Linked DNA regions of Rattus norvegicus. Each later gene encodes a partner of the first gene's protein in a complex. Links are inferred from orthologs where the notes say so. Each region holds a gene or a part of one and is shown in the gene's direction. Other genes may lie near its edges.

Region 1 (5,823 bases):
TATTTTTAAGTATGCGTATGTGCTTCTGTGTGGTGTGTGTGTGTATGAATACAGAAGTTGGAAGAAGACACTGGAGTTGGATTATAGGCAGTTATGAGCTGCCCAATCTGCGCACCAAATACTCACATCCTTCACAAGAGCTCCACAGTTGGAGTACTTCTAACTGAAGAGCTGTTAGTTCTAGCAAGATGGCTATGAAGTGGATAGTGACGTGCAAAGGGCAGACAGATAGAGTTTTGCAGAGACCTTACCCTGTAGGCTTGGTGGGATCTTGATGAATATTTGGGTGTTTATGTGTTTATTTAGGCAAAATTACTAAAGCAAATGATATGATTGGGTTGATTAACTTTATCATAGATAGTATTCATGTTTGGGTTTTTGGATTGCAGACACATAGCCTATGTAGGGGTGAAGAATTCAGTCAGGAAACTACACCTGATGTACATGTGGACTAGAGGTTAGGAAGGATGGCAGTAAGTGACTTGGCTTTAAAAACCTGTGATAGGGGCTGGAGAGATGGCTCAGCGGTTAAGAGCACCGACTGTTCTTCCCGAGGTCCTGAGTTCAAAATCCCAGCAACCACATGGTGGCTCACAACCATCTGTAATGAAATCTGATGCCCTCTTCTGGTGTGTCTGAAGACAGCTACAATGTACTCATATATAATAAATAAATAAAAAAAAAAAAACCTGTGATAGTTAGCCCATGCAATGAAGTGAGACTGAGGCCGTAGAGAGAGGGTTGTGGGTTGACTTCCATATCTTGAGCTTTTTGGAAAAGATGGTTTTCTAATTCCTATCCTTCTAGAGGTGGTCGTGGTGACAGAACTGGCCGGTATGGAGCTACTGACCGCTCACAGGACGATGGTGGAGAGAACCGCAGCCGAGACCATGATTATAGAGACATGGACTATCGTTCATACCCACGAGAGTATGGCAGTCAGGAAGGCAAGCATGAGTATGACGACTCATCTGAAGAGCAAAGTGCAGAGGTGAGGGCAAGGCCAGGCCTTGGGGGGCAATGCTCCTGAAAGGCCTGTGTGTCTGGCTGCAGCACCAGGTGTAGGTAGCGCTCTGCTCCTGTGCCTTTGGACTACTCAGTTGCTTTGCGTCACCTAGGGGAGGGTCTGTCCCTGATCCCTTCTCTGAGGGCTCTTCTCCTGAGTTGGGTCTCCCTGGCTTTCACACTGCTTGACTCTGTATTTCTCAGGGCTCCTAGCCACTACTTCTTTCCCTTCTTCCCTGTTGTTCAGTTTTGGCCTTGGATTCACTGCAACCTCTATACTGCACCAATTTAGGGAACTCAAAAGGATCTTTTCCATGGGACCTAGTATCTAGGATTGAGAGGACAACCTGAGAACAAAATTATCAACCAATCCATACAACTCTGGGAAGCTAACACTGTTTCTGGTCTTGACAAAACCTCTAGACAGAAAGGAAGGAAAAGATCTTTGGGGAAGTCAGTCCCATGTAGGTAGTTAACCTCTAACCTAAAGGATAAGGCATGATGCTCACTATGAGAGAACCCACATCTGAGGGTTAGAAGCACCCTTGTCTTAGGGAATTTCAGTCTGAGGACCAGTCAGAGACCTAGTGCAAGCACGTAGGCAAGTAGCTCTCTGTCTAGTAGGATAGAAAAGGGTATACTTTTGTAAGCCCAGCCCTGAGGAGAAATTGTATTTAAACTATCTTCTACCTTCTGGGTATTTGAGGGACTATTTGAAGATTCCCCTGGTAAACTACTAGCTTTGTTTGGTTAGCCAGGGCTTACAGGCATCCAGGCTTCTCCATTGCCTGCAATTGAGCAGTATCTTTTAATGTCTCCATGGGTACAGTGGACCTTGTGAATGGACCATTGACAAGTGTAGAACACAACATCCAGTTGTCTGGACCTGTCCCCTACAGGTGGGAGGGTGTAGGGTCATGCCTGACCTGTTTAGTATTGAAATTAGTAGGTTGAATAACAACTAACAACTCAGCAACCACACTCTGTGTGAAGGAAGCTCATAGTAAACAAAGACTTTTCTAGGCCTGAGGACCAAGGACAAAGGGGGAGCATAATGGCCCATGAACTCCTGCTGGCTGCCTCAGGCCCATATCTGAAACTATTTCTGAAACGCTGGCTTGGTTCCAGGGCCCAACCTTAAGCTGGGAACTCTAGGAGACAGGTGTTTTTCAGTGGCACAGTAAACAATTGTACACACACCAGCTGAGCTGCCTAAAGAAGACAGTGAAGGCAAAGTCTAGTTTGCTGACCCCAGGCTAGTTTATCCCAAGGAGGTTTAAGCAGTGTTTTTTGTCAGCCTGCCTTTGGGAGTTCCTCCTCCACACCAGTACTGCCATTCCTTGAAGGCAGCTCCTAAAAGTATCCTGTGGAACATTTGCAGCCTTAAAAAGCCTGAGCCTTTAACCGGAGCCCGCCTGCCCACCCCTGGCTTTCAGAGCCCGCCTGTCTCAGAGAGCCAGCGGCCAACCACTAGGCCCACCCAGACTGACTGCCCGTCTGGTGTCTCTCATCTCATTCTGTCGGCCAGGATTCCTACGAGGCCTCCCCGGGCTCCGAGACTCAGCGTAGGCGGCGGCGGCGGCACAGGCACAGTCCCACTGGCCCGCCAGGCTTCCCCAGAGACGGCGACTATCGGGACCAGGACTATCGGACCGAGCAAGGGGAGGAGGAGGAGGAGGAGGATGAGGAGGAGGAGGAGGAGGAGAAGGCCAGTAACATCGTCATGCTGAGGATGCTGCCACAGGCAGCCACTGAGGATGACGTACGTGCCCCCCCAATGGCCCTGGGCAGGTGGCAAAGCAGGAGTCCAGGCTGGGTCTCCTCCAGGGCCCTCAGCTTCTCTCCACCCATCCTTTGCCACCAACCACAGCACCTTTCCTCTCTTCTCCCCCACCAGCTCCTGTCCCCCAGCACTATCCATCCTCCAGGATGGTCCCATCAGTTCCTGGTCTGGAAGGGAAGAAGGCAGCAGACAGGCTGGCTTGGCCCAGGGGCAGTAGCCGTGGGTGTCCGGTGCTGGTGGGTGTGAGAGAAGAACATCTCTCCTGCACATTCCATTGGCTTTCACCCTTTTTGTATATGTGAATGGAGGCCAGGCCCAGTGTCTGGTATTCTTCATGGCAGAAACCCATGAGAGTGAGATCTTAGGGCCCATGGGCTTTTCTGAACTTCCATATTCCTCCCCTTTTGTCAGCAGTGACAGCCTGGCCACAGCTGCCCATAAGGTGGCTCTTTGATAGCTTCTCAAGCTGTTTGCCTTTGTGACATTCTCTGCCTTCCATCTTCCTCTCTTCACTCGTTTCCTTCTCACGCAGATGTCTTATGGCAAGCTACATTCAAAATGCAAGAGTATTACTCAAGTTAAATTTTGACTATCCTCCCTGATCTTTGGTACCTCTCTCTACCCTCACCCCTAGTCAGTTCTCTACACAGTGCTTCCTTGGAAGCCTGGCAGCTGCCCATTTTCTAACAGTAGTAATCCCACCTAAGAAATGTGAGGGCTTTCAGGATTGGACTGATCGTTGACATTACCCGTGGTTTTATGGCAGGGTAGGCCACATGCCAAGCTGATTGAATCCTCAAAGAGGCTCTTTCTGGAAGGTATACATTGTAGTCAGTCCCACATAGCCCCAATCAGCAAAGTGACTTGCTTCATGTTCCAGCAAGTGGCAGAGTAGAGTTGGGGTCTAAACCTGGACTGCTGGACTCCAGAGTCCAAGTTGATATTTTACAAGTCCTCCCTGATTATTTGCAATCTTGATAAGATTTGTGTATCTTGACTTTTCATCTTCCTACGTACTTATGTGCATAAGACTTAATTTCTTGTTTTTTTTTTTTAACCCGGGTAGAGAGCAGATACCCAGAAGCACAGAGAGAGACTTTTACTGAAAAGTGTCTGGCATAAACTCCCCATTCACCAAAAGAGGTACTGCCAGCCTAGAGACTGCCTCACCTGGGCTCTTAAGTTGCCTCTCTAGTGTTCCTCAGGTTCATTAACTCAGGAAGCTGTCCAGATCAACCATTGTGCTATTTGTCTTTAAATTTCTCCTGACATGGCTGGAATGGCTCCGGCTCCTGTCCTTCCCTGTTTACTGTTTGTGCCATAGGTAGTAGCTTTTAGTACAAGTCACGGGGAGGGAGCAGTTCCTCTGTGATGGGCAAGAATTGTATTCTAGCTTCTATGCTTCATGGCTGCTACTAAGCCTCTTGTCAGATCACCCTGCCCACCATTCCTGATTTGCTGCCTCACTTGCTCTCCTGTTGCCTTTGTGCCCTGGGGGTCATCTTGCTGCCATCTTTTATTCTGTACTATGTTTTCTGTCTTTGTTTGACTCACTTTCTGCAAGTCTAGAACTGGAAGCGAGACTGAATACTAGTGTAGGCTGCAGTTGTTGTTACTGGGAAAGCTTTGAAAGAGGTAGAGGAAGTAGGTGTGTGGGTGTGGATGTGTGTGGGTGTGTGTACATGTGCGTGCATGCTCAAATGTGGGTGTGTGTTTCTTTCATGACCCCTTGGGGCTCAGAGGCCTTGAGTTGGCCTCACATACTCAGCCACTTTCTTTGCTGAACCTATCCCGCTTCTGTATTTTCTGAACAGATCCGTGGCCAGCTGCAGTCCCATGGTGTCCAAGCACGAGAGGTCCGGCTGATGCGGAACAAATCCTCAGGTGAGCTTTCGTTCCCAGTGCCCTCCCCTTCTGATGGCCAGCCTGAGCCTCCAAATCTCCCTCTGCCTCTGCCTCTGCCTCTGCCTCTGCCTCTCCCTCTCTCTTCCCTTCCCTTCCCTATTTCCCTCCTGCTACAGCTGGGAATGGGCAGCTTGCGGGGGTGGGGGTACCCTCTCATCTCTCTCATCCCCTACTCTCACAGCTCCAGCCAGCAGCCTCTACAGGGTTGCTGTCCTGAAGGGGATGCAGCTCTGGGCTGAGCTGACTACTCCCCAGGAGCAAGGTCAGAGCCAGGCTCTGGAAAACCTCTTCTTTGGGACTTTAAGTTTCTGAGGTGGTAACCCTTCCCAGGACATTCATTTCCTCCTCCTTCCTCTGCCCCTTGGTCTCCTCCCCTCTGACAACAACCTCTAACCAAAAGTAGGTCTGACATGAACCCACCCATATGTCCCAAGAAAGGGAGGGCAGGGATGGCTCTCATCGAAAGTGTATCCTAAGGAGCAGCCAGAACTTTCTGGCCTCACCTGTTCCCTCCCTCCCTCTTGCAGGCTGCTTGGAGCTGGCCTGGGGTTTTAGCAGGGTGGGGGGTGTTGTCTCTGCAGGACTACTGCCCAGGCTCCCCAAGGCTGACACAGTGGGGCCTCACTCTGCCTGGGCTTCTCCTTCAATCTCAGTCTCTTTCTCTTTCCTCCTTCTACCTCCTCCATCTCTCCATCCTCCCTTGCCTGTTTCCCTATACTATTCCATCCTCCCATGCACCCTGTCGGTGATTCTTTTGGAGATCAAGCATGCCCCTCCAGACCCCCACATCTAAAACCTCCTTTCATGACTGTCTGAAAGAGTTACTTTCCTACAACCTTAAGCCTCAAGCCCTTTCTCAGCCCTGGCCAGGCCTGGAGTCTGTGTCAGTGACATGTAGGTCTTGCTCTGCTTTACTCTACTTGTATCACTCACAGAATCTGTGTTTCTTTCCCTAAGGAGGCGTCCCAGGTATGGCCTCTCAGTGACTTTGGACATTTCTTCTAGGTACCTGCTGACTCTTACCTATAACATCCTCTTGGCCAGCTCCAGCCACCATCTGCCTATTTAGGAGAACCTTGATTGTCAGTGGCTATGGTCTCCCCACTGTGGCACTGAAGTGAATCCCTAGC
Region 2 (5,823 bases), on another chromosome or scaffold:
CAGCAGCCTCCTTGGTAGTGTATGCAGCCCATTATCTATATGGGTTGCCTCAAGGGACCTTGGAAACATTAAAAAAAAAACAGAGAACTGTCTGAAAAACTTAATAACCTTGTTCAGAAAGATGTATTTATGGTCAAGTTCCTTAACTTTTCAAATAATTTAACTATGTACATTTTTTGATTTAGGGTATATGAGTGTTTTACTACATGTATCTATATTTACCCATGTATGCAGTACCCTCAGAGGCCTAAGAGATTGGGCACTGGATCCTCTAATTGGAGTTACAGGCGGCTGTGAGCCGATATGTAGGTTCTAGAAACTGATCCTGTCCTGTCCTCTGGAAAAGCAGCCAGAACTCTATAATTGTTGAGCCAGCTGTCTAGACCAGTTATGTAGTGTTGCTATTTAGAATTTCTATTGTATGCATTTAAGATCTAGAAGCATAATTATATAAAATTTGGAAGTGTCTTAAATGAGATCTTTTTTCTAATGTAAATAATGTGTTCTACTAGTTGTATTTTATTCAATATAGCAAAAAATTGGAATTAGCCTAGTCCTTCAGTCCTTCATCACTAGATGACTGGATAATTTTATGCATGTATGTATCTATACATATATGTATGTATATATATATATCAACTTTAAAGAAAAATGAAGTTACAAAATTCATAGGAAAATGGATAGACTTAAAATATATATTTTTATAATATTAAGCAAGGCCACATTATCTCAGAAAGAGGGTGTTCTCTCTCATATAGGCATTCTAGACAATTATGTATATATATAAGCAAATGTACGTGTGGGTATAATATAACATATAGAAAGGAGCACAAGAAAGGCTAGATAGATATAAGGGGAATGAAGACAGAATGAGTGCAGGTGATGTATATGAAAAATGAAAGAGGATATAAAATTAACTGCTTTTCTAGTCAAACAAAACTAAAACACCAAAACTCTGTCAAGGATTCTTCATTTTTGGTGGTAGATACTTGCATAAAAGTATGTTCAAGAGTGAAAGTATGGAATCCAGTGTGGAGCTCCACAGGTTCAGAATGGCTGTTCTAGCTGTAGAAATTCACTGAGATGTATAGACTTTGGGTCTGGTTAATTGGGTCTAACTTACAGACTTTGGTGTATGATGTTATTTACTTGTCCGTTTTTTAAATTAAGTTTATAAGATTTTTTTTTTTAAGCAAGTGAAGGTATGATATCTGTTAACATGTGCTTAGTTTAAAAACATTTTATCTAATTTTTTTGTATAAAGTGATTAAACCTCAAATCTAGTTTAATAATATGTGTGTGTGTTATTTTGGTTCTTAATAAGGTAAAGTGGGGTGCGGAGAAAGAAACACCAACTTTGAAGAGCAACAGTGATCTTCAGGTTAAAAATAAAGATGAAAGGACAAAGGTGTGGGTCGCATCAGATCCCAACCTTAATGCTGTAAAAATAGAGAAGTTGTCTGATGATGAAGATGTAGACATCACCGATGAGCTGGATGAGTTGACTTCTCAAACATCACAAAAGAATTATGGCGGCCATCTTACTTTAGATGTTCCTAGTAGTAAAATGTATAAGACCAACCAAGGAGAATTATGCCAAGAAGGTTCATTAGCTAAATCTGCAGAAGAAAATCTTCAGAATGTGAAGCAAAGTGAAGCAGAAGCATGTTCAAGCTCAGAAATTATGTCATGGGCTGAAAAACAAAATAATAATGGCAAAAACTCAGTTGAATTAAATGAGAAATACAGTAAACTGGTTGAGGAATACACTATGCTAACAGAGGAAACCAAGCACTCACCTTCTCCAGAGCCCTGTGAGGGTCAGAAGGACCCACGTGGAAATGAACTGCTTTTGCCTCCTTGCCAAGTGGAGGAGGAAAACCATGAAGGAGAAGAGCTTAAGCCACCGGAACAAGAAGTAGAAATAGATAGAAATGTCATTCAAGAAGAAGAAAAGCAAGCAATTCCTGAGTTTTTTGAGGGGCGTCAAACTAAAACACCAGAACGCTATTTGAAAATTAGAAACTACATTTTGGATCAGTGGTAAGAATTACATTGTACATGTTCTAAAAACTTGGTACTCTAAAGCATATAGATTAGGACCATGCAGAATTGTGGATTTGCTAGAGACTCAAAGAGCTTCTGCATGTCTTCCTTCAGTAGTCATGATTTAAAGTTTCTCATAGTGAACCTCTTAAAAACTTTGATAAGCATGGGCATCCATTGCTATCACAACATGTCATCCCACTGTAGAAGAGAAGCCTGGCTAGAAGGGAGTGGCCATATTTTTTAGGGGGCAGCAGTTTCTTGGGGCAGTGTTGGGAAGCTATAACTATAGAACATATTGGCCTGGGAAAGGAGAGAATTTCCAGTTTCACATGTATTTGAGAATAAAAAAGGACAAACTCAGAGACAGGAAATATTGTTAAACATGATTATAGTACAGAAATTGTCATCTGAATAGCTCTTCAGTGCTTGCAACTTTGAATGTGGAATGAACACAATTACTTAGGAAACCAAAAGACTACCCTCCTTATTAGCCTAGATACACTGAGAGTAACTAAGGCTCCTTCAAGCATCCATAGATGCTCTTAGTGTTTTAGAAAGCTTTCCAGATCTTTGGATGTGGATTCTGTGTTGTCCTTTGTTTTCTCCTCTATCAAAGGTTTCTCTGTCCTGTTTCAGTGGCTTTCTGCTAGAACCTAAAATGCTACCTAAGATTAACATGTACATTGTTAAATAATTCATTGCACTTAGATAACATTAATTTACTTGGCTTTTAAAGACAGCCATGTTCTCACAAAATGTTTGCTCTGGCTTTGTGTCATGGTGATTTTGCACCAACACGACCACTGAAGAACCATCTTCTGGCTAAGAATGTCATTAGAGTAAGAAATACTTAAGAGAAACAACTGCCATTTGCCTAGAGCTTTGTGGTTTACAGAAGGCTGCCCTGAATCATCTCATTTGAGTCTTCACAACAGGCCTGTGAAATAGGCAATGGGATCTCAGATCTTAGGGTACCTGCCTTTGATCTTTCAACCAGACACTGACCCAAGAAAGGTGTCAGTCCAACTCACTCATTCTATTACTCTACATTACCTAGTTGACAGCTTTTAAATGTGGATTAAATTAGATCTCTCTTCATACCTGGGTTTGGTTTTGGAAATAAAATGATGGATAGCCAAAATCAAAGACTTTCAAAACAATTTCTACCTCAGAAATGTCACAACTTGTGTATATTTAATGTTATTTTAGACAAAGTTTGTCACACTGAATTTTGGATTTTAAATTAGCAGGATAAATTACAGAGATGGTGTCGATTATATGGCAGTAGTTTCCTAAGTCCTTTTATTTAATACACAAAGCCTATTTGATATTGCTGTTTAAGTATGAGATATTTATTGGAAAAGTATAAAAGCAAAAGAAATGTTTTTAAAGAAAAAGTATAAAGTATAGAACAATATAGATGGTACTTTTTTTTAAAAAGAGAAGATAAAGTTTTAAAAACAAAGAGACATACAGATCTTTCTTTTCCATGAGAACAGGTACAATTGGTTTTACTTAGGGGTATGTTTTTATTAAAGTGTTAGTCAACTGTTAATAACATTATTTTACCTTATTCTACCACATACCATGTGTTTGTTATATTTAAACCGTCTTCAGTTCTCTTGTGAAGGTGACTTCAGCTTCCGGGTTGATTCAGTATTTAAAGAGCTGTAACTCTGGCCTTAACCTTCTCTTCCTTCAGAGCTTCTGGTACTGGCTCTTTGACTCTTTGGTTCTGCTCAAGGAAAGTGATGTGTGTGGTGATGCTCTTCCCTATTCTGGCATCCTTTGTTTGTTTTTGTCATACAACTTAATACCACTGAAAATGCTGCCATTTTGTGAATCGTCTCCTACCGTAGTCCTGTAAGAATACAGGCAATGTGAAGGCAGTTCTGTTTGTTCTGTTAATCAAGTACCCCCTGCTTAAGACAGTGCTTAGATGACAGAAGGCATTTTAGTTGTTGGAGAAGATTTAGAGTCTTTGGTGAACAGAAATATTTACTATCTAAGCCACGCGTAAGCCTGTTGATTAGAGAAGACAGATGCAGATGAAACCACTTTCCAGGCTCCTGCCATTCTTTAGTAGCTGTGCGCTTTCCTATATTTTTGTCATGCTTGCATAGTTCGCTTTCCTTTCATCAAACATGGAAGTCTCAGCTTTTCTGAGGAAGTTACAATATTCTCCTCTATCACACTTATTTTCACCTTCTGTAGACCTTGTAGATTTATGGATTTGATTTTGCAGGTTTAGCAAGGCCTTCCCTAAGCACCCTATCTAAAGTAGTCTATGCCTGTTTGATGGACTGTCTCCATTAGGCTTCTCTTTCTGTTTAGAGCTATTGTTTGATAACAAAGTATATATTATTCCTTTTTATGTATTGATAGTCTCCATTGGAATTTAAGGTCTCTGAAAACAGGAACTTTGCATTGCTCACCTCCCAGACTCTTGTTCCTACAACTGTGTCTGGGACATAGAGCACAGATACTTAGAGAATAAAATGTGAGCAAGTCACATCTGTGCTGTCAGTTAAGGCCTGGGTGGGTATCTGCATCTGTATCGCACCACTTCTTTATGTTAAGTAGGTGCTGTAGTGATTCTGGCCAGCTCCTGTACTCCCTTCTAAGATGAATTGGTAGTCAGTCTTACAGAATTGTGAAGGTTGAGCCTGGGTGTCTAACACTGCAGCATTTAGCTGATCAGTAATTGATTTCTACTACTGTAAAGTTCTCCGTTCCTGTTCAAAGCATGTTAAGTAAATAAGATTATTGTATGAATCTTTCAATTTCACTGAGTTTCTTGATTTCCTTTGGAATCCCCTAGAATATGTCTGTTTTCCTTTTTTAGAGTAAGTTCTTACAATTAAAAATAAATATACAATACTTAAATATTTTTTGAGAGAGCTAATAATTAACAGCATTGGCAAAGCTGGGAAAACCTTGGGGCTGAGAGTATAACTCAGTACTAGACTAGCTGCCTAGCAGCATGAGGCAGTACTATACAAAAGGAATAGTAAGGGGATGTCCCAGTACTAAGGCTTCTTAATTCCCAAAGTGCTCTTTTATTCACAGATGGAAATGTCAATTTGGTTCTTACAGAATAAGCTTCTAATTTCAAGTTTTGGGGATACCTGGGATCTGTGGGGCTTAGTATTGGGGAAAGAATACTTACTTGTAACACAATCATTTTTACAAATACTTTTAAGTTGTCAAATCCTTTAAAGATATTTTACATGTGAAAAAAAGAACACTTGGGTATTGGTTACACAATTAGGCCTTGAGTGAAGGTAAAATTTTAAGATTTTTCATATATTAAAAGTTTTCCCAAATATCCTTTTTAAAATGTTTCTATTCATCCAGAATAATTGTACTTCCATCTCTTAATTAGGGAAATATGCAAACCGAAATACTTAAATAAGACCTCAGTACGTCCTGGCCTGAAGAACTGTGGGGATGTTAATTGTATTGGACGGATTCATACATACCTCGAGTTGATAGGAGCAATCAATTTTGGATGTGGTAAAAATAAAAACCCAACAACATCTTTTACTTGGCATTTTTATCCTTATATATAGCACCCATTAATTTTTATGATGGTTCAAATAAGTGTATCATTAAGATTTTGATGTTAAAGAGATTGCTGCTAATTAAACTGGTTCCCTTTGAAGATACAATTTTAAAGGAAAGTATTTTATCTACATAATAGAAATAATTCATCAAAAGAATTCTTTGTCAAGTAAAAGTAAATAATATCAGAGAAATCTAAGAATAGCCTGT
Region 3 (5,823 bases), on another chromosome or scaffold:
ATGATTATCATCATTATCATTATTATTGTGTTTGTGTGCATAATGTGTGGACTTGTATGCCATTGTAAAACTTGCACTTTTATATAGGTTTCAGAAATCAAACTGAGGCATAGAAGCTGGACAGAGGGGCACACACACTTGGGAGGCAGAGGCCAGGGAGATTCAGAGTTTGATGAGTCCAGTTAGTGCCATATAGTCTTAAGACTCTGTCTCATAAATAATATAAACAAACAAAAGCTTGGCATAAAGATATATTTGACCAAATCCAGAACTTGAGACGTGGGAAAAGGCTTAGTTTCTTGTGTCCATAGTCTCTCCCCAGCTCCTCTCCCCTCTTTCCCTTTCCCCTCCCCTCTTCTCCTGGCTTTGGACCCATTACCTTTCCTATGGTAGCTTTAAAATCATCCCCCTGCCTCTTCTTCCCTGTGCTGTGATTAAACGTGTATGCCCTCTTGCACATCTTAAAACCTGGTTTCTTAAAAAAGCAAAGGTTTTCACGTTAAACAAACAAACAAACAAACGAAAATCAAAGAATAAGTTACAGAGCAAAAAAAATACTTTTAATAAAGACAGTCTTCAGTCTGGAGTCTGTCTGTCTGCCTGCCCATCTATCTTTCAGAAACAGAGAGTTTGTGTATGTGTGTGTGTGCATATATGGCTGTCCTGGAACTAGGTCAGCCATAGGTCAGGTTGTCCTTGAACTCAATGAGATCAGTCTGCTTTTGCTTCCTAAGTGCTGGGGTTAAAGGTGTGTGCCACCACTGCCAGGCTGTCTGTCTGATTTTTAAGTTAGCCTTTCCTTACATCTGTTATTGGAGTGATGTTAAGGATGGGTAGCCAGAGATGGCTTAGCAGGTCAGAGTGCTTCAGGTCCCGCACCTATACTGTGCAGTGAATATAGGAGCTAGTTGCTTTGTTTTTAAAACTTGCTAAGTTTTTAAAACTTGTATTCTGGGAAGTTTTGAGGTAGTAAAACATGGTATGTGTGCTAAAAGTGCTTACAAATTTTGTAATGAAAGCTTGTTTTGTCCTTTACAGTTTGTAAATGGATGTTGTGAAGCTTCAAGTTCAGAGATCACTGAAAAAATAAGAGGACACAGAGCAGCTATTGAGAGCCAGCACAGCTCCTTTGTTGTTCAGATAACTTCTGATGAAGAAAAATTTAAAGCTGGAAGCCTAGAGCTTGATAAAACTATAAAAACTGGTTTAACAAAGCTTAATTGCTTTCTGCAACAGGATCTGAAACTAGATATCCCAACAGGTATGCTATTTTTACTTTTTAAAGTTTATTTTACTCATGCGTGGGTAGATATGTGCACTTACATGCAGTACCTTTCGAGGCCAGGTGAAGGGATCCCTCTGGAGCTGGAAGTTGAGGTAGGAATGAGTGTGAATGCTGGGAACTGAACTGTGGTCCTCTGGAAGAGTAATGTATCCTCCTCTCCAATCCCCAATGGGTTTTTTTCCCATTAATTTTTTTCACTTTACGTTAAGATTTATTTATATGCATGTATGCCTGCAAACAAATTTGTTGAAGTTTTGAAATTGAATTTAACTGTATACAGTGTTAAATACTCTTTGAAACTGAGCCTGCCTTTGCCCGCAGAAATTTACCATCTCTCTGTAATAACATTTAAATAGGAAAATTTAGAATACCAAAATAATTCTAATCCAGTCTTAGCTGTCCTCCTGGTATATTTTTTAGAAATTTGGGCACAATAGAATAATAGTTCATAAACAGACAACTGGCTTTGTTAAGAATAGACATTTTTAAAGCCTGGTATAGCTTAAAAGCACGCATATAAACAAGTTAGACATTTGAATGTTTATGACGTTTTCTAATACATTTCCCTCAGGAGGCTGAGAAAAGAAAATTGTCACTTGTAGACTATCCTGGGCTACAAAGCAAGACTCTGATGAAAGAGAAAAAATAAAATCTTGGGTGTGGGGTGTGGTGGCAACACTTTGTACCAATACTCAGAGGAGTAGGTAGGGTGATCAGGAGCTCAAGGTCATCTTTAGCTGCAGAGTAAACTTGATGCTCTCCTGGGCTATAAGAGCTCCTGTCTCAAAGAGCCAAACTGAAACTAAAAAGCGTTAAAAACAAAGTTGACTGACTAGTCAGCAGTGTGTTTAAAAGGATGTTTTAATACCAAAAGTACTAGATGAGTATTAAAGCTAATTCTTTTTTTCTTAAGATTTTATTTATTTTGTGTGTGTATTACAATATATATGAATATATATATATGAATATATATATGAATGATGAGTACACTGTAGCTGTCTTCAACACACCAGAGGAGGACATCAGATCCCATTATAGATGGTTGTGAGCTACCATATGGTGGCTGGGAATTCAACTTAGGACCTCTGGAAGAGCAGCCAGTGCTCTTAACTGCTGAGCCATCTCTCTAGCCCATAAAAGCTAATTCTTGTTTAATGCAAAGTAAAGTTCACTGCATTGTACAGTTTTTTCCACGCCCCCTCTTATTTAAATGACTGGCATCATTTAAAAATCACCAGTTTTAGAGATCAGAAATGGCAAAGATGGATAAATTACCATGATCGCTAAGCTGTTACACATATTAATAACTGATCCCTCATTGCCTTGTAAAATCATTATAAAGTCATTGAATCATACACTGTTTGAATGATTTTTGTGGCATATAAATTACATCTCAAAGCTTCCTTTTAAAGAAGTAATTGTAAAGAGTTTGTACTAAAGAATATTGATTTATTTAGTTTCTTCAGTCTTTCAGATTTATCATTAGCTATCAATGAAAATGAAATGCTATGTGAAAAGTTAAAAAAAAAGAACTGCATGAGAGCCAGGCACTGCACCAAATTTATAATGACATGACAACTCCTTTCAAAGCTGGTACAACTTTTAATTCCATTTCTCAGAATACCCAAAGTCTTTCATAAGCCTAATACATCTTTTGTATACTTTCTTAGAAAAGAAAACTTCACATTTTGGAGGTAGGATAACTTTTGAGAATTTTAAGACCTATTAAAGATCCATTACTACATAACAAAATATTCCTAGCTTCAACCGGTATGTGCTTGGCAGGTAAAAAAGCTATATGAAAATCACTGTTTGGTTTTGGAAGACAAATTACTTGAAAGTATTCATTTTAACATAATATTAAAACCTATTTCATACTTAATTTCTCCCTTCTTTTCTAATGTCTGCTATAAAGGTATGACACCAGAGAGGAAAAATTATTTATATCCATCAACACTTGTGAGAACTGAACCACGGGAGCAACTCCTTGATCAGCTGCAAAAGAAACAGCCCAAGCCACTGATGATGCTAAATTGCTCAGAAAGCAGCAAAGAGACCAGTCAGGTAAATGTAATACGTAAGTTTAGCGCTTTTCCACACACTGTTACTTATTATTGCATGTATGGGGGCACATGTGTGCATGGGAGTGTGCATTTAGTATGTGTGCGTGTGAGTGGGTGCCTTTTTAATTGCTCTTCACTGTGTACACTGAAGTAGAGTCTCTCACTTGAATCCAGAGCTGCCAGTTACCAGCTCTCCCAAGTGCTGGGTTACGGGTGGGCTGCCACAAGATATTTAGGTAGGTGCTAGGGATCCAAAATCTGATCCTTACATTTGAACAACAAATGTTCACCCCTGTGAACTCTTGATGTGGTCAATTGCATGGCATGAATATTACTTTCTACTCTTCAGTCCCAAGCTGCTTTCTGTGAGAGTTGCTGACTTTCTTTTAATCTGATTAATTTTGAATTAATTGGACTAGTAAATAGTAATAAGAAAAAGCCAGTATTTAAGCTGTGATTGCATACCAGACATTGTTCCAGGTTTTTTCATGTATGTGAACTTAACCCTTTCAATAACCCGGTGGGATGGCTGCCACATCTTTAAAATGATCAAGCTAAGAATTCTTTTGTCTCAGATTACAGAGATGAACCTGCAGTTAGAAGGGAGGCAGTCAGGCCTTCAATTTGTGCTCTGTAGTTAATAGCAATAGAAAAGGTAATAGTATAGAAAAGCTAAGAAATTTGAGAACAAGTACGAGCCAGTACATTCATTATAGTTTGTAATTTTTCTAATAATTATCAAAGTTTAACTTTCATGTAATGCCTCTGCCTGTACCTCCAGAGAGCTAGGGTTGGCAAGCGTGCCCCACCAGGTCCTGCCCTGTGTGATGATCCAGCCACTCATCGCCTTCTTATTTTAGGACATGGAGGAGGACAGGGAGGTTCTGGAGCAGAGTACTGAAGAACTCGTAAGTCAAGAGCCGTGTGTACATACCAGTGCGGATTGCTCTTCCAGTGGAGGTGTTCCATTTTTTCAGGTACTTGATAATGTTTTCCACTCAGATTTTACTATTTAGTATAAAGGGACCGTGCCTAACCTAGCCAGTAGCCAGGCATGATGATATACACCAGAAATCCCCACACTTGTGAAGCTGAGGCAGGAGCTAGCTTAGGCTAACAAAGCAAGACCTGTCTTTCAAAAATAAAGCAGTAAGAAAACACAATTTCTTGGTGTAGAACAACAATAAAATAAGTCATTCTTTTCTAATGACTTGTTAATTTTTCTTTAAATTGTGTACATACTGTGATTGAAGGAATCGTCTATAGAATACATAAAGGTAAATTTTGATGTCATCTATAAGTATAGAAAGTAATCTTTAGGCTGGGGATTTAGCTCAGTGGTAGAGTGCTTACCTAGGAAGCACAAGGCCTTGGGTTCGGTCCCCAGCTCTGAAAAAAAAAGAACCAAAAAAAAAAAAAAAAAAGAAAGTAATCTTTAGTAATTTTTGTCTCATTTCTGCCTCTTATATTTCTTTTATTTGTACTTTACCAAGTGGGTCCTGGTGTGCGTCTCTGTCCGTCACACACTGAGACTATAAATTGTATTAGTGATTTACCCTGCCCACCCTGTGGCTCTCCTCATTCATTACTCCCCTGAGTTTCCCAAGCTTCCTGCTGCTCTGATGCTGTACACTTAAATGATCTGACAGATTCTATGCCCACTACCTTGGTTATCCTTTTTTTTTTTTTTTTTTTTTTTCCTTTTTCTTTTTTTTGAAGCTGGGGACCGAACCCAGGGCCTTGCGTTTGCTAGGCAAGCACTCTACCACTGAGCTAAATCCCCAACCCCCTTGGTTATCCTTTTAAGCAGTCACACTCAGTAGAACAGGCTAGCCTAGAATTTGGCAATCCTCCTGCCTTAGGTATTGCAGATGTGACATCATTCCCTTTTAACATAGTTAGGAACAGCCCATTCAAAAGTGCCTGGTGCCAAAGGAGGCATCTCAGACCTGTGATCATAGCCCTGTAGAAGCAGAAACAGTTTGTTCTCTGTAAGTTCAAGGCCAGTCTGTCTTCAGAGTGATTCCAGGCCAGCCAGGGCCGCACAGTGAACCCTATCTCAAAACAAAAGCGTTCCCTATATTTTGAAGATAAGAGCCTAGATTAAAGTAAAGATTTTCTATGCAAGATACATAATGTATGCTTTTACAGTTGGGATGCTGATATGTGTGTGTATATATATTTTATGCACATATATTTACATGTCTTATATATATATGCATGCATACTTACATGTGTGTTTATGTATGTATTATGTATCTATTTTTAATAGACTTTCTTGGGTCCTTTTCTGGAGGTGTAAATGTTCTCTCTTCATCCCAGGTTTAAACTGCTACATTTTTACAGATCTCCTTGGATCCTTTATGTGCCTCAGGGCAGTTTCACCCCCATATTCTTTTAACCCTTTACTTGTTATTGGCCTGGCACAGCCAGTCATTCTTCACCATCACTGTCACTCACACTGGTGGCCCAATT

What was found.
Region 2: Rbm10 (region 1) and Mysm1 share a complex: the UniProt entries of both Homo sapiens proteins name them as parts of the large chromatin remodeling complex. The link is inferred for Rattus norvegicus from reciprocal best matches to the Homo sapiens genes RBM10 and MYSM1.
Region 3: Rbm10 (region 1) and Kif11 share a complex: the UniProt entries of both Homo sapiens proteins name them as parts of the large chromatin remodeling complex. The link is inferred for Rattus norvegicus from reciprocal best matches to the Homo sapiens genes RBM10 and KIF11.

Annotation. Positions count from the first base shown.
Region 1 is NC_086039.1:4,104,082-4,109,904, reverse strand, and holds part of Rbm10 (RNA-binding protein 10), read left to right. Parts: intron 1-807; coding exon 808-991; intron 992-2,533; coding exon of another isoform or gene 2,534-2,767; intron 2,768-2,951; exon of another isoform or gene 2,952-3,024; intron 3,025-4,602; coding exon 4,603-4,672; intron 4,673-5,823. UniProt on the Homo sapiens protein: Binds to ssRNA containing the consensus sequence 5'-AGGUAA-3'. May be involved in post-transcriptional processing, most probably in mRNA splicing. Binds to RNA homopolymers, with a preference for poly(G) and poly(U) and little for poly(A).
Region 2 is NC_086023.1:114,917,428-114,923,250, reverse strand, and holds part of Mysm1 (deubiquitinase MYSM1), read left to right. Parts: exon of another isoform or gene 1-71; intron 72-1,324; coding exon 1,325-2,043; intron 2,044-5,434; coding exon 5,435-5,565; intron 5,566-5,823. UniProt on the Homo sapiens protein: Metalloprotease with deubiquitinase activity that plays important regulator roles in hematopoietic stem cell function, blood cell production and immune response.
Region 3 is NC_086019.1:244,581,009-244,586,831, forward strand, and holds part of Kif11 (kinesin-like protein KIF11), read left to right. Parts: intron 1-1,038; coding exon 1,039-1,261; intron 1,262-3,200; coding exon 3,201-3,349; intron 3,350-4,208; coding exon 4,209-4,325; intron 4,326-5,823. UniProt on the Homo sapiens protein: Motor protein required for establishing a bipolar spindle and thus contributing to chromosome congression during mitosis. Required in non-mitotic cells for transport of secretory proteins from the Golgi complex to the cell surface.